Linked DNA regions of Stegostoma tigrinum. The protein of the gene in region 2 purifies or fractionates together with the protein of the main gene of each other region. This does not show direct contact. Links are inferred from orthologs where the notes say so. Each region holds a gene or a part of one and is shown on either strand. Other genes may lie near its edges.

The links.
Region 1: the proteins of exocyst complex component 6-like (region 2) and exoc8 purify together in Homo sapiens (affinity purification with mass spectrometry; 4 studies listed by BioGRID and IntAct, counting the BioPlex papers as one, with this or other methods). This does not show direct contact. The link is inferred for Stegostoma tigrinum from reciprocal best matches to the Homo sapiens genes EXOC6 and EXOC8.

Annotation. Positions count from the first base shown.
Region 1 is NC_081357.1:94,381,282-94,388,407, forward strand, and holds exoc8 (exocyst complex component 8), read right to left. Parts: upstream 3,075-7,126; 5' UTR 2,882-3,074; coding exon 677-2,881; 3' UTR 420-676; downstream 1-419. Other genes in the region: DNA-dependent metalloprotease SPRTN, read left to right, coding at 3,569-3,813, 4,376-4,475. UniProt on the Homo sapiens protein: Component of the exocyst complex involved in the docking of exocytic vesicles with fusion sites on the plasma membrane.
Region 2 is NC_081373.1:42,065,518-42,073,505, forward strand, and holds the start of exocyst complex component 6-like, read left to right. Parts: upstream 1-4,923; 5' UTR 4,924-5,044; coding exon 5,045-5,169; intron 5,170-6,933; exon of another isoform or gene 6,934-7,200; coding exon of another isoform or gene 7,201-7,298; intron 7,299-7,988. UniProt on the Homo sapiens protein: Component of the exocyst complex involved in the docking of exocytic vesicles with fusion sites on the plasma membrane.

The DNA.
Region 1 (7,126 bases), on a different chromosome or scaffold from region 2:
CATTCACATTGGGATTAGTTACAACCTACAATTCTTTGCCATAAATTAAACTAAAAGGGGACATGTTGGTTGAAAACAGACTTGGTCAGGACGGTGACACTATGTTAGAGTAGCATCAATGCATACTTTAAGATATAATGCCCTGTTTCTGCGTTCAACATGCCATGACTCTATGAAACAGCGGTCTCCGCATGTTTTAGTCGTTGCTGAAATAGATGTACTTCCCTGTGACTTAAAAGGCTGAAACTCTTTTTAAGTGTTCCATAATTCTGAGAAGTTTTAAAAAAAAACCCAGTTTTGGCATTTAGAATTCAAATGTAATCTTCCTATGCTGAATTCTGATCAGCTGAACAGCAAAGACTTTCTCATCAAGTTCAATTGTTCTTGCATAGCGGTGTTCTGATTAAAACAAATACCAATACTGCCACAAGTGCTTTTACTAGTGGAATACAACAGGACACAAAAATACAGGACAGGTGAAATTGAAATTGGCAGCTCACATCTACTGGAGAACATTGATCTTCATGTTGTATATTTATTAAGGTAGCGAGTTCATGATGAGTCCCACAAACAATGTTTATGCAGCATTAGTGTTGAAGCAATTAATAAAAAAAAAGTGTATGCTTGTGCAGGGAATGTCTGCAATCATTGGTTTATCTGTAAGTGCTCCTAGAGTTTATACAAATGAATTAGTGCTTTCTGGATTGACACGAATGATTCGAGATCCATTGCGGAGATCCTGGAGCTGCTTGGCTGGTGTTCCAACTCCTTCCTCAAACCGTCTCTCCACCACAGGGAGCACAGTCTCATACAGGAATGAAACATTCTCACGAATGAAGACTTTCTTTTCTGGGTCCTGCTCACAGCGCAGGCTGTAGTCAACATGCTGCACTGCCACCAGGATGATCTCACGCAGGCTTTCCAAAAGGACCATGTGCAGCTCAGGGAAGTATAGCTTCAGCCCTTCCTCCAAGAAGGCCATCAGCTGTTTTGTGAAGGCCACAATGGTGTAGCTGAGATTGACCCAGCAGTCATCTCCAGTGTACTGATCAAAATTGGTGATTCCACTGGCTTTCATCTCCTCCTTCAATTTTGCCAAGGCCTCCGGTGTCATCAAGTTCATTCTTCGCCACATCTCTTCTGAATTTCTGTGCTTGGTGGCCTCCATGATGATGCCCTTGTAGCTGTGCAGGGCTGCCTTAATATCTTTGACGAGCAGTGCCTGAAGAGTAAAGGTGAGGTCCAGGCCGATCTCACTGAGCTTGCTGCAGTGTTCTTTGGCCACCTCCACGCACTCAGCTGTGGTGGACAGGCTCTCCTTGCTGTCAAATACCTGCTTGCTGAAGGCATCCACAAACAGCCGGGTGGCTGAGCGTGACCACACCACAAAGGCCGAGTAACAGCCACTGTCACCAGCAAAATCCATCTCAAATTCCTTGGCCGTGTCCAGCAGGCCAGTGAAGAAGATGTTGCAGAGTTTGTGGATGTACAGCAGGGTAGCTCCCTCGATGCGCAGCTGCCTGATTGCTGTCTGCACTGCAGCTGCCCGGTTCTTCAGGAAGAGCTCGCAGGCTTTAGTGGACTGACCCAGCCGGATCAGCTGAGAAACAGCACGGCGGGTTGCCCGTGGACCACCTCGGAGCGAGCGGCCAGGGGATAGCTCATACATCAGCACATCAGTCAGACGGCGGACCCGCTGATCCACACGACTCCTCAGCTGGCGCACCGCGGGCTGGCTGGTTGCTCTACTCAGGTACTCGTTCAATTTGTCCAGTAAGTCAACAGCGCCTTCAAAGTCCCGCTGAGCAATACAGACATCCAGGTCTTCGGGCAGCTCTTGAATCCATTCCAGGCTCAGGTCCACCAACTCCATGGCTGGATCAGACTCATCCTCAAATGGGTTAGTTTTCGGTGACAGAGGCCTCTGTTGCTTCTCTTCCTCGGCCACCAGCAGCCGGGCCTTGGCTTCCTCTTTCTCCACCTCCAAGCGCTCAGTCAGGGCCTTGTTCTTCTTGGTTTGGTCCAGGATCTCCAGCCACTCCTTCTTGACCTTGGCGTTCTCGGCCTGGAAGACCCGCGTGTCGGGGAACATGAGGATCTTGAACATGTCCCGCATGGGCCCGTTGTCCTTGACATTGACCACGGCGAAGCTATCCAGTGGATACAGGGCGTCGTAGCGGTAGCGAACAGCCCCGCGGCGGCTGGGCAGCCAGGCAGCCACCAGCAGGCAGTCGTTCATCAGGAAAGCGTGCACCCTCTGGATCTGAGCTGCGCTCTCGGCATCGCACTCAAGCAGGTCACCGTTGTAGACCAGGTAGCGGCCCGGGGTTTGCAGGATGTCCTGGCAGCCTTCCACCTTCTCCAGCAGGGTGGTGAGGGTGCGCTGCTTGTGCTCCTCGGCCTCCCGGGGCAGGATAAGGAAGGCTTCGGAGGAGGAGGAGGTGGAGGTGGTGGTGGTGGTGGTGGTAGTTGTGGTGGAGGAGCCGAGAGAGGACGATGAGGTCCCGCCAGCCGTGCCCATGGAGGCTTGCAGCTGGCGGGATCCCTGTTGCTGCTGCTGTTCCCTGTCGGCGGTCAGCAGCATCTGGGTCAGGCCGTCCATGATCCCCTTCTGCTCGGTGAGGATGTGACTGAGCTGGTACATCTCACTCTCCAGGTAGGAGATCTCCCGGGCCGTCTCGATAAATTGCCGGTAGTTCTTGTAGACATTCTTCTTCAGGTTCTGTGCCGTCTCATCGGCCAGGCTCTGGATCTTGTGTCGGTGCTCCTGCAGGTCGCGGTCACCATCTGACTGCTGCGACAGCTGCTTCACGTACTGGGCCGGCTCGAAGCGGGGGGTTTCCAGCTGCCGCCGGAGCCTGGAGGCCACGTCCGCCGCCATCTTGCCGCCGCCGGTGGGAGGTTGATTTAGCCACCCCACCACAATATATACCGCCCTCGGGTTTTTCACAACTGCTCCCGTCCGGCCTCCACGCTCGGGGGCCCTGCTCTCTGCGTCAGGTCGCTCCTCCAAACGACTACCGAGGCCTGGGCTCCGCCGCTCATCTGCAGCCTCCAATTGGCTGGCCGTCAGCAACGACCCGCAGTCCCATTGGTCACACTGCGCCAATACTGACTTCTGACTGGTGCGCCGCCAGCAGTAATCCGCTCTCCTATTGGCCACGCTGTGGCGGTTCCGGCGTCCGATTGGTTGCCGTGCTCCCCGTGACCCGCAGTCCCATTCGTCGCTCTGACAGCTGTCTAGATCATGATTGGCTGTCTGTCTTTAATTGTGCGCTTGCATGAGGAAGAGTCACCGGAACTCTGATCTTTTTCTTCACAGATGACCAGACCTGCTGAGCTTTTTTTTGTGCTTGGCTGTTGATTTGCTTCTCCAATGCTGACTTTGCATTGGTTAACGTTGGTAGTCCCATTCTGATTTGTCATTGGGTGGCCCGTGGTATCATCCTGCGCTGCCATTGGCTGTTATGTTTGCGGCTCCATCATGTGATTCGCCAAGTAAAGGGAGAGGCCCTACCTCCGTTTGTCTACGTCAGTTGGGTGGTTGCAGGAGGCGGTGCTGAGCGGTATGGATGGTGATTTGTTGTTGGCGCTTCAGTTGCAGGCCTCCTGGGACGAGGAGGACCGTAGCGATGCCAGCTCGAGCCCTGGTATGGTCCCGCAGCCTCCGGCGTCTCTGTCCGTGGTGGACCCGGATTGGGAGCTGATCGACCCGAACCCCGACCTGCACGGCCTCTTCCTGCAGTTTAATGACTTGTATTTCTGGGGCCGGCTGTCCGGGGTGGAGGTTCGCTGGAGCCCGCGGATGACTCTGTGAGTTGTGGATAGGCCGCGGCTTCACCGCGGTTTGCTGAAAGGGGAGTCGGTGCTTCCCGCGATATCCCACTCCCCTGTCTCCTTGTTGAAGCCGGTCAACAAAACTTAGCGTCAATATCCAATCCAGAAGACTACGGCACAAATAATAGCTGACTCTGAGAACTGCAGATGCTGGAGTCGGAGATAAAACAGTGTGGAGCTGGAGGAGCACAGCAGGTCAGGCAACACCAGAAAAGCAGGGGCCGAAATGGCATCTTGCCTGCTCTTCTGATGCTGCAGTGCTCCTCCACCTCCACTCTGTTATCTCTACAAATAATAGCTGTACTTTTTTCTTGCATGTGCTGAAAAGACCTGCTCATTGAAGGAGGGAATCTGGAATCTTGAATCTCAATTTTTGCCATCTTTTCCTTTACAAAAAAATCGCTCTAAACAAAGTTGGATAGACTTGACAATGCACTTTTGACATCTGCATTAAATCTTCACTCTTGTTGATTGTTTGTGCTACTTGCTGTTTCTCATGCTGAATAAATTGAGCTTACCTACTGTGGATCTGTTACAGTTGTGCGGGTGTGTGCAGCTATGAGGGCAGAGGAGGATTGTGTTCTATACGTATCAGTGAACCTTTGCTGAAACTGCGACCCAGGCGAGACTTGGTTGAGGTATGTGCTGATTGTGTCAATACTGTGACCTCTGGTATTTCCTTCCTACAAGAAGTAGGCTGGTGTGCTGATAAAATTCTGATTTCACTTCAGACTTAACTTCAAACATTATTTGCAGCCTCTGTTCTGGCATTAAGTGTGCCTGGTCAATTGAGTCTACTCTACAAGTAGGCAGTTCAGCCTGTTAACATACTCTGTAATTTAGTTAGCCTGTGACTGTGTTCTCTTTGCAACACTTTTTTTTAGAAATTGTGGCTGGTGAATCTGTGGTCCTAACTGCACTGATCTCCCCCAGGTTAGGAATTTCTTCTGCAAGGATGCTTCTGTGGAACATGATCCTTTCTTCAGGATAGTGTTAATGATGGAAGGTCCATATACTTCCCACCCTCCTTGCATTGTAATAAGTTCAAGGCTGCTCCCTCTGTTGAAAGTTTTTATAGTTCTGAAATTCCAAGGGTATCAGGTTTGCATTACCTCAGAAATCACTGATGTAGTGACAGTAACGTGTTCTCTGCTAAGGTGGTAGATTTCCATATTGTAACTTCAGATAAATGACTGATGCAGAGGGACATCTGAAGAAAATGAATTTAAAAATCTATGAACGTAAACTATTTTTCTTGCTGTCTGGCTACTTGTCCCACATGTCCATTTATCCTATAAATTGACATTTTTGAGGATAACTGGTGGGGTTAAGCTGCACAGCTTCTGCTTAGCAAAAGCTTTTTTGATTTTGACTGAGGTGTCTGTCTAGCTTGTTTGAGCTGGCTGAAATGAAAATATTTTAGCGATGAAGCAAACTATGTATTTATTGGAAACACAAGCCAAAGGGCCACAGATGCTGGAAAGCCAAAACAGACTCTTGTTTACAATAATAACAAACCAGAAATTACAGTAGAAACTCAGCAGGTCTGGTAGTTTTGAAAGATGGGTCACTGGACTTGAAACTTTGATTCTGCTTTCTCTCCAGATGTCACTGGACCTATGTTTCTTCAAGTTGTTTGTGTTATTGAAAACACAAATCTGTTCAGATTTCCAGCATTTGCAGTTTTTATTTTTATTATATTTTTATTGGAGTTTGGGGATGAAAGTGATGCTTCCCTGTGCAAACATGAAAAGCCTGATAACTTGAAGAAAACTTCTTTTTAGTAACTCTACCATTTGTAGAGAGGATTTCTATCTTTTCTGCAATCCCTCAGTCATGCTGCTTATCCTTCCATAACCAGGAAGAGGTGCATCCCAGATAACTGGAATCACAGAAGCAACTAAATCAGTCTTAACCGGAAGTAATGAAAGTATCTTGCATCAAATCCTAGCTGAATTTCACTTGCTACACACAGTGGAGCACTCTGCTAGTGAAGAGGATAATTGTACAGGGTTTCAAACTTACAACAGGTCGGAGCAAAAAAGTGGTTACATTTGGAAAGGTAGTACGATGAATATTTAGCGAATTCAGTTGCAAGTATGCCTGGTGTAATCTCTGGGAGACTTCAAAAGCTGAAGTAGAACTCCCAGTCAGTAATAGTGAGGCAAATCTCAAATTTGGCCATGACTACTTTTTTGTTTGGACCTTAACTACTTTTAGTCTCAAAAACTATGGATTTTTAACTTGATAAAGTGGGGCATTTTTATTTTAAAGTGAGCATCTTTTATACCTCAGATGTACATACAGATTTCATGCAGTTTGAGCTTTTTAAATGGTTGTATTGGCATCCATTGAAGGCAGTTTGCATCAATATTGGTTTCTTTCCAGCTTGCTCCAGGCCAAATAACCATCTTAAATCCAAATTCCCTTGGAGCTTTTAGTATATCTTTTTTAACTGCAATCTCAGATAAAACCAGCAAGTCATATCCCTTAAGTAACAGGTTTACTGTATTATTGCAGTCTTAGCAATGTACAAGTAATCAGTTGAGGGTGCAAATGAGATGACTGTCTTAAGGTTGCATCATATTTAAGTAATTTAATTCATTCTGTAATTAAAGTATGTGTGCATACCCATTGCATTATGTTTCTATTACTCAGGTGTGTTTTTACACATTGAGGACCTCTCTTAATTAACTGGAATACTTGAACAATAGATACATCTTATTAAAGAGGTTGACCCCACCCCAGCCTCTGATAACTAACTGAAACCGAAACACCCTAGAGAAGATAGCCTCTCCTCCTCGTTTCTTAGAGCAAGTGTGAAAAGTGATAGTCTGCCTCTCACTGCCCAATCTGTTATAAAGGGGAGGTTAAATGAAATGAGGTCCTGACAGTCTCACTCTAGATCAGCAAGTAACAATTTAACTACTCGAACCATAAACAAATAAACATAACTACTTAGAAACTGAACAATTGTCCCCCCTGAACTAGAAACTATTCCAGGATAAGACAAAATTCTATTGGTATGCTATAGTAAATAGAAGTCCTACACTTATAAATCAAATTTAATTAAAAAGTACTTAATCTCTCAATTTACAACTAGAAATGTCTTCTGGAATGTCTAGTGCCTTCTCCACTGTCCTTCAGTCAGGCGTGCCTTTCCCTGTCAAATTCTTGCCAGGAATATTAGCTGGAAATGTCATAAGTTTAGTCACATGATGGTTTTAGAGAGCTTGGAGAATTCTGAAAGCCAGTGTTTTTTCTCCTCTTGGAGCTGCTGGTTGTTAAC
Region 2 (7,988 bases):
TTTTCAAGCTTTTATCCCTAATAGGTTTAGGCTTTGTGTTTTATACATTTCCTAGCCAAGTACATGTCTGAGAGTATGTATTGTGATTGTTACAACACATTTAGAAAAATCTGTTGATACTTGAGAACCAGAAATCCCAAGGTAGTCGCAAAAGTTAAAGATTCCATCAAAGTATACAAAGTCTCCAACTTACCTATCTGATGGACTCAGATTAAAAGAAAACTCCGAACAGATTTCCTCATCTAAGAAGAATTACTATTTGTTACAAATACATAAATTCTAAGCAGAGGCAAATAGCTATGATCTATCAACATATCACTCCAGTAGTTAAACCATTCACCCTACTTAAAATGCCAACACACATGCAAACAGACAAAGATAATGGTGTTCAGAGATAATGGGAACTGCAGATGCTGGAGAATCCAAGATAACAAAGTGTGAAGCTGGATGAACACAGCAGGCCAAACAGCATCTCAGGAGCACAAAAGCTGACGTTTCGGGCCTAGATAATGATGTTACAGGTAGTGGAAAATCACAATTCAATAGCATCAATCACAGGTTTTGATGAGGTGTTCCTTTTTATTCCCAAGACCTCTATTCTGCGTAGTCCTTACTTCCTGATTTTTAGCTCTTTGGCAAAGGCAAAGGAAATTTATGCAGTAATTATTCAATTTCACTGTCTTTATTGAGAGGCAGCACCTCAAAGCTAACAGTGGACAGAATTACTGTCTTCAGGTTTGACTTACTTGCTGCAAAGATAGCGAGGTTATCCCTCCTTCTTCCAGTCTAGAGACCTTATGTGTCTCTGAGATACACATACCTACACACACAAACAGCTGTCTTCAGACTGATTTTCACAGCTGATCACAATTGCACAAATCAGTTAGCTATCTGATGCTAGCCGATCCTAGCTCCATACCATCTTATCTCACCTCCCCACTGCTTGAAAAGTAATAGTGTAAACCAACTGACAACAAGTTCAAAAAAAATTCCTTCCCCAGTCAGACTGGGGTGTTTTTGAGATCTGTCTCCTTGCCCTACTTGTGATAGAGCTTGCGAGTATTCTCCTGTGTTTCAGCAGATAATTGAAGAAGAAAGGCTTATCTAAGTATTGGTGGCTGCTGATTCCATGGAAAGTAATTGTTTAAAAGCCAGAGTTGGAAGCTTAAACATCATATTTCCATTTGAGCCTCCTCCACTGAAGCAACATGTCCAGCCCAGCTTTCCATTATGTACAACAGTAACCTCTACAATGTTGCCAGATCTGTTTTTTCTCCAGCAACTTCTGTATTTGTTTCAGATCTTCAGCACCAGCAGTTTTGTTTTATTTCAGCAAACTTCTTTCTTATCTGCAGCTATGTTGAAATGGCAATGAGTAGCTGCAGTGACTTGATCATCCACATCCTGCCATGCAGCTTGCAGTAGGAGTTACTTAGTATTACAGACAACAACGTTATGCTCATGTCTGCTCTGAACTGTTGTAAACAAATTGTCCCCTTTTCTGTCATCACCACAACATATCCTTTAAATGGTATGTTTGTCACCCCTTAAGAGCTCATCAAAATGATTGGAAAAGCATTAGACCCCATAATGGTGGTTTGTGATAAAGACCAAAAATATCCTTAAGATTTCTAACTTACATGTAAAAGCCTTGTTTTTTGCAGTCCGCAGTTAAACTGTGCTTGCTTTTACAACTCTTTCAAAATGTTAAATCCAGCTATACACAGTACTTGTACACAACGATAACAGTTTGCATAATGTCTTTTTTTATCTCTCCAGAGAGAATGTCATTTTGCAATTCCATTCTATACAGCACAGCAGATGTTGCCACTGAAGGCCGATGAAAGACACCACACGGCCAGGAATCATTACTCATGGTCACGGAGAAGAAGCTCACCCAGAGAAGAGAGTCTATATCTTGTTGTTGAACTACAGAAAGACCCATCACCCAGATGTTATATTGTATTATGAATTGCTAAATTTCTGGAAAACCAAACAGAATTCTTTACACAACAGAATCCCAGGCAATAACAATTATAAAATGAAATTGCCTATGAGAAATAAATTCCTCAAACATTAATTAAAGCAATAAAAGATATATTTTACTGCTGTACTGCAAACATGCTGACATTCTGGTAACGTGCTTCCCTGGGATAACACTTTCTCAAATTGCACTATCTACCTCAAAACAGTGGCTGCAACTCTACTAGATTTCTCGTCTGAAACTAGATGCTTTAAATGCAAATAAAAAGCAGAAAGACTGAAAGAACAGATTTAAAATCACACTGCTGAATAGAAAAGGCATTGCTTATATATGTTTATGTATATGATGAGTTTTGCTTATCCCGCAGCTACTAACAATAATATAAAGTAAAATGCCGAAAGAAATACTGACCTGACTTTTGAATATTTCCAGCATTTTTTGTTATAGTTTTAACTTTTCAGGATATGTGACATTTTATTTTAAGAGTTACCTTGCACTGAAAGGAGACTATGGGTGGAGGAAGCTTTTCTGGTAACACTGAAAACTGACTAAGGTTATAAAATGTGCCCAGAAAGCAAATTTCAAATCTGCCCACATCAGAGTTATGTTTTTCATATTGCCAAGTTCATAGAAGGCAATCTCACCTTACCATCTTAAAGGACACTCAGAGTTAGATCAAGATCTGTCTCTAGCATTTTACTCCACACTTAGGATGCCGTAGCCCTGCAGCATCCCTGAAACATTATGGACATCAAAGTCACCTACTTCAGACTCCTGCTTATTGACTACAGCCCCCCTCCAGATTGACCTCAAAACTGTGTGACCTCAGTCTCGACTCTGCATTCTGACCCATAGGCTGCACTCAGTGAGGATAGGTAACTGCATCTCCTCCACAATAACACTCAACACTGGGGCGCCCCCCCCCATGGAAGCATCTTCAGCCACCCACTGTACTCCCTGTACACCCGCAATGGTGTCGCCAAATTCTGAACAAACGCCATCTACAAGTTCGCTGACGACACCACCATAGTCAGATGCATATGTAACAATGACGAGTCAAAATACAGAAAGGAGGTAGAGGGGATTGGTGATATAACAAAGTGTGGAGCTGGATGAACACAGCAGGCCAAGCAGCATTTTCCTCGCACAAAAGCTGACGTTTCAGGCCTAGACCCTTCATCAGAAAAGCTGATGAAAAAGAAGGGGATTGGTGACCTAGTGCAATGAAAATAATCTGTTTTTCAACGTGAGGGAAACTAAAGAACTGATCATCGACTACAACAAGAAAGGAGGAGAACATGCCCCCATCTACATCAACAGAATTGAGGTTGAGAGAGTGAAGAGCATCAAGTTCCTTGGAGTGATGATACCCGACAACCCTGGGTTCCCACATAAATGTGACAGTCAAGAAGGCATGACAATGCCTCTTCCACCTCAGATGGCTCAGGAAATTTGGCACATCCATAAGGTCCCTCGCCAACTTCCACAGATGCACCATTGAAGGTGTACTGTCCAGGTACAAAATGGCCTGGTATAGCAACTGCTCTGCCTAGGACCTTAAGAAACTGCAGAAGGTTGTGTGCACAGCCCAAACCATCATGTAGGGCAACCTTCCATCCGTGGACTTAATTTACATGGCATGCTGCCACGGAACAAGCAACATTATCAAAAACCCATTGCACCCTGGTAATGACCTCCTACAATCTCTTGCGTGAGGCAGAAGATGTAGAATCCTGAACACACACACACACACACACACAAGCAGGTTCGGGAACAGCTTCTTTCCAGCCATTATCAAATTGTTGAATGGAATCTAGCCTCAAATAATGTAACCTGTATGCCTCTAACTATTTTTGATATATATATCCTTTGCTTGTTGTGATCTGTCTGTACCACTCCTAATCAAAGTTTTTCACTGTATTTCAGTACAGGTGACAATAAAATCAGAATCAAAACTTCTGTGTGAATATAAAACTGGCATTGTAAGAGCAATCATTAGGAAGCAGCTTGTCTTATTGCACAATGGGAAATTGTGTAGGTTTATATCCTTATCTATGCCAGCTGTGACTCAGTGATAATGCTCTCCACTGGGATTCAGAAGAGTGAACGTTCAAGTTCCACCTCTGAGAATTTATCCAAAATCAAGGCTAACGCTCAGATGCGGTACTGGTAGAAGGCTGGGCTGTCAGAGATGCCGACTGGGCATAAGACTTTCAACGAGACTTGATCCAAAGCTGCAAGTTCACTACTTATCAGACAAACATCACTAAAATAGGTTATACGGTCATTGTCACATCGTTGTCTGTGGGACCAGCTTGTTCAAGTTGCACCTGCATTACTAATGAGGCAACATTGTGAAAACGGTTAATAAGTGGTGACTGGGGCACTATATAAACGTAATGCTTCCTTTCTCTTTGACACATGGTATACAATAAGATGTATCACAATTCGTCATAATTTCACAGCTCTAACTCCGTCATAAGCCTCCCAATACACAGACAGAATTTTAGGCTAAAAACGAGTTTGTGAAACGTGATGGTGATTTCTACAATGATCAACCGAGTCATTCCCAATGCAATTTGAAGAATAAGTCGCTGACAGGTTTCAATATCCGGAAGTATTTTCCTGGAGAAATAGTCTCTTAATTGTTAGTTTCTTCTTAATTGTTATATTAGACCATTGTGACGACACTGGGGAATCCTGTATCTTGCTTACTTACTATTCTATAAAACGATGAGAGAGGAGCGTTTTTCAAATGTGTTGTAAGGAAAGTAAAAGTCGTCCCGTTGGTGTTATAACAGGTTAATCGGAGGGACTGTGAAATATGATAGTCTTTAAATAGCCCTGTGCTATAAATAAGTTATCTCCAGTCACTTCTTGCGTTGATACTGTACATAGATCGTCTTTTTGTATAAAATAGTAACAGCTACATTTAGACTGATTGCTCTATGATCACGAGATCATTATTGTCGTCGGCAAATTTTTTTTTGTTGTTGTCATTCCTTCGGTTGAGTCTACGAAAATTTCGTTCCAAAACCCGGGGACGAAAGCATTGGAACGATGGCTCGGGTCAGCAAAACAGTTACTTCAATCACTTCTAAAGAGGAAAAACGTGAAAGCCAAATTTATGAAAATGTTTTTTCTGAGATCGAAACGTTGGAGTTGCCACTTGGTACGAGCTTACGGTAGGTTACCTGGCTTTCTACCGTCCTATTTAAGCTCTCTATAAAGTAATAGACTTTTCGCTGTTTACTTTTCCAACTGCTACTTTTGTAATGTAACAGCGAAGTAAAGCGGTTTAATTTGGGACGGTTGATTGTGGGGCAAAATGAAATTCCAATTGCCTTGTTTAGTAATCACGACTATAAAACTAGATCAGGTTGGTGAGTGTTGCTAGTAAAAATAGGCAGTTACGAATCGAACAGCCTCGTAAGGAGTGATAAAAGTGAATTGGTACATCTTTTATGACTTCATTTTAAAAACAAATGACTAGCTAAAAGTGAAAATCATCGTCGTCTGGATAACGAATACTTCTATTACACTTTTTTAAAAAAGTAGTTCGGGGGCTCTAGCCAGGCTTAGAGGTGTCTGTGAAATACGACATGGCTCCGAGCTAGTAAAATTAGGTTTGAAACATTTTTTAAAAGAAAACTGGCAACAGATGTTGCGAGACCTCTCGAGTTTCTACAATACTACAGAATCTGTAGTGTTTTCTTTGTTAATCTTTAAAAGTTAGTTTTGCGCCATTATCTCCTGCGTTCGCTGCTGACAACTACTTCATAGCAATTACTTTGTGCCTTGCTCTAATTTGCATAGCAGTTCAGTTTGTGTTGAATTGAGTTCTAAATTGTAAATATTTCACTGACCTGTAATAGTATCAGGTAATGAGCAAAGTCACGAGCGTGATTACGCTTAGTTTTTCCACCTATGACCTTTTTATGCCCGTGCGAGCAAGTATCTTTGCCGCGCAGTTTAACACTTCTTTTCGGTCGTCTTAAATTTGCATTTTTAATTAATGAGGTGGATTTTGACCCAGGAGTTTACCTACTGTATATCCATTGTGAGTTTCCACTCCTAGTTAACTGCGCTCATGTTTTTTAAAATACACTATGTTCCTGCTAAGAAACGTCTCTTGGCTTTTGGTGAACGGGAAACCAATGTGTTCTCACCGCGGGTTTTCTGTCAGCCAATAAGAAATTTTAGTATGGAACCAAACACTGTCCAATGCTCCCTTTTTTTGGTCAAGAACTAGCTTGACAGGGGAATGCCTGCAGTTCTCCTCTTTTTCGGTGACGTTTTAAAGATCAGAACCTGGAAAATGCTGACAAAGAAATGATGCCACTTCGACTGGCACAGTCGTGCTCAGCTGTCTGTGACATGTCTGCGTGGATGTAGTCAAACGCTTGCAATCTGGCATTTGCGGTAAATAGCTTTCTGTCCACGAGGGAACGCTACTTCCCACAGCCGCAATTCTACTGAATCTGCTACTCTTAATGCTTTTAGCATACTTGTCTAGCTTCTGTTACTGAAGCCTGGCTAAAAGCATCACAACTTGTTTGTATTCTGCAGTACAAGCTCAGTCCCGGAATTCAGAAATTAGTTAAGTGGGGTTTGCACAATGGGACTGTGTGCAGTTGCACTCTTCAGAGCCTTCCACAAACAATACGAAGGGCCCACTCGTTCTCATTTGAAGCGCTTTACCACCAACCTGATATCAGCCCCGTGCTGTTCGAGACTCGAACACGAAAGGAAAGCTAAAGCTCCTGTTTGGCTTTCGAGCAGCTTAAATAAAAGTTACTACCACCCAGTACTCGAATGTAACTTGCAAGAGGCCGCGCGTCAGTAAACGTTGACGATTTAAAGCGAAATAAAATGGACATTTTTCTATATCACACCAGACAGGTTACGATTTGCCGCAGGTAAAGTCGGGCATAGGCGCGCGCGCGCGTTCCCGCGCGCCGTCGGGAGCGCGCTGACCGGTCACTGTCGGGGATGGGCAGGCAAATGAAAACGGCGGTGGAATAAAAGCAGGCCCGGAAGCGGGTTTGCCAGCGACGGGTTCCCGTTTGACATTAGTAGAGCAGCCGCTAGCAAAACCGAGCACACAGCCACCCCGCCGCCGCCAGCAAACCAGGGCCATGAACCGCTGTTAACCGCAGTAACACTGCTGCCTTCGCCCACGGCCTTGCCTCGCCTCCACAGCCGGGGCCGCTAAGATGGCAGACACCGAGGCCCTGGAGACGGTGACAGAACATGAGCGGATCCTGCAAGAGATCGAAAGCACGGACGCGGCCTGCGTGGGCCCGACGCTTAGGTAAAGCGCCTCTGCTTCCGGTGCCGGCGCTGCCCTGGCACTGGCGGCAGTTCGGGCCCTTTAGCCCGGCTGGGCCAGTATGAAGCGGCTCCCGTTCCGTCTCTGCTTGGCTCTGGGCCTGGAACTACTGGTGCTCCTTCCGCAAAAGTTTGTGCGTGTGTGTTTTCTTTTGTTTTTATTTGAAGGATGTGGGACAGCCGCCGGTTTTCCTGCTACCGCAAACTACAGAGCATGTGGTGGGCAGGTCCTGCATCCCGCACCCTCCATTGCCATGGAGCCTTCTGCCCACCCGGGGGGACGTGCGACATTTTCCTGGTGCCTTCGTATTCGCTGTCACTGGCGCAGCACATTTACAACTTGTCCTGCGTCTAATCGCTCTGTTTGTAGGACTGTGTGCTAGTGTTGCGACTATAAGGTCATTAGTCTAGAAAAATTGTGCAGCTGCTACTTCTCCGTTCGAGATTACAACAGTGAGACTGCCTCACACCCAGGATTATCATTTGTTACAGTATGATTGGGTGTAGGTTTTTGTGTAGGAAGTTCTGCCTTGTACTGTTAAGTGCAATCCACCTTTTGTTTTTGGCACGAGCAGGTTACAGAACGCTCCATTCAGTAGTTTGTGTACTTCATCTGAGTAATTAATGCACATTATGCCAGTAAGTGCGTTATGTATTTTTGGTTTCAAAATTG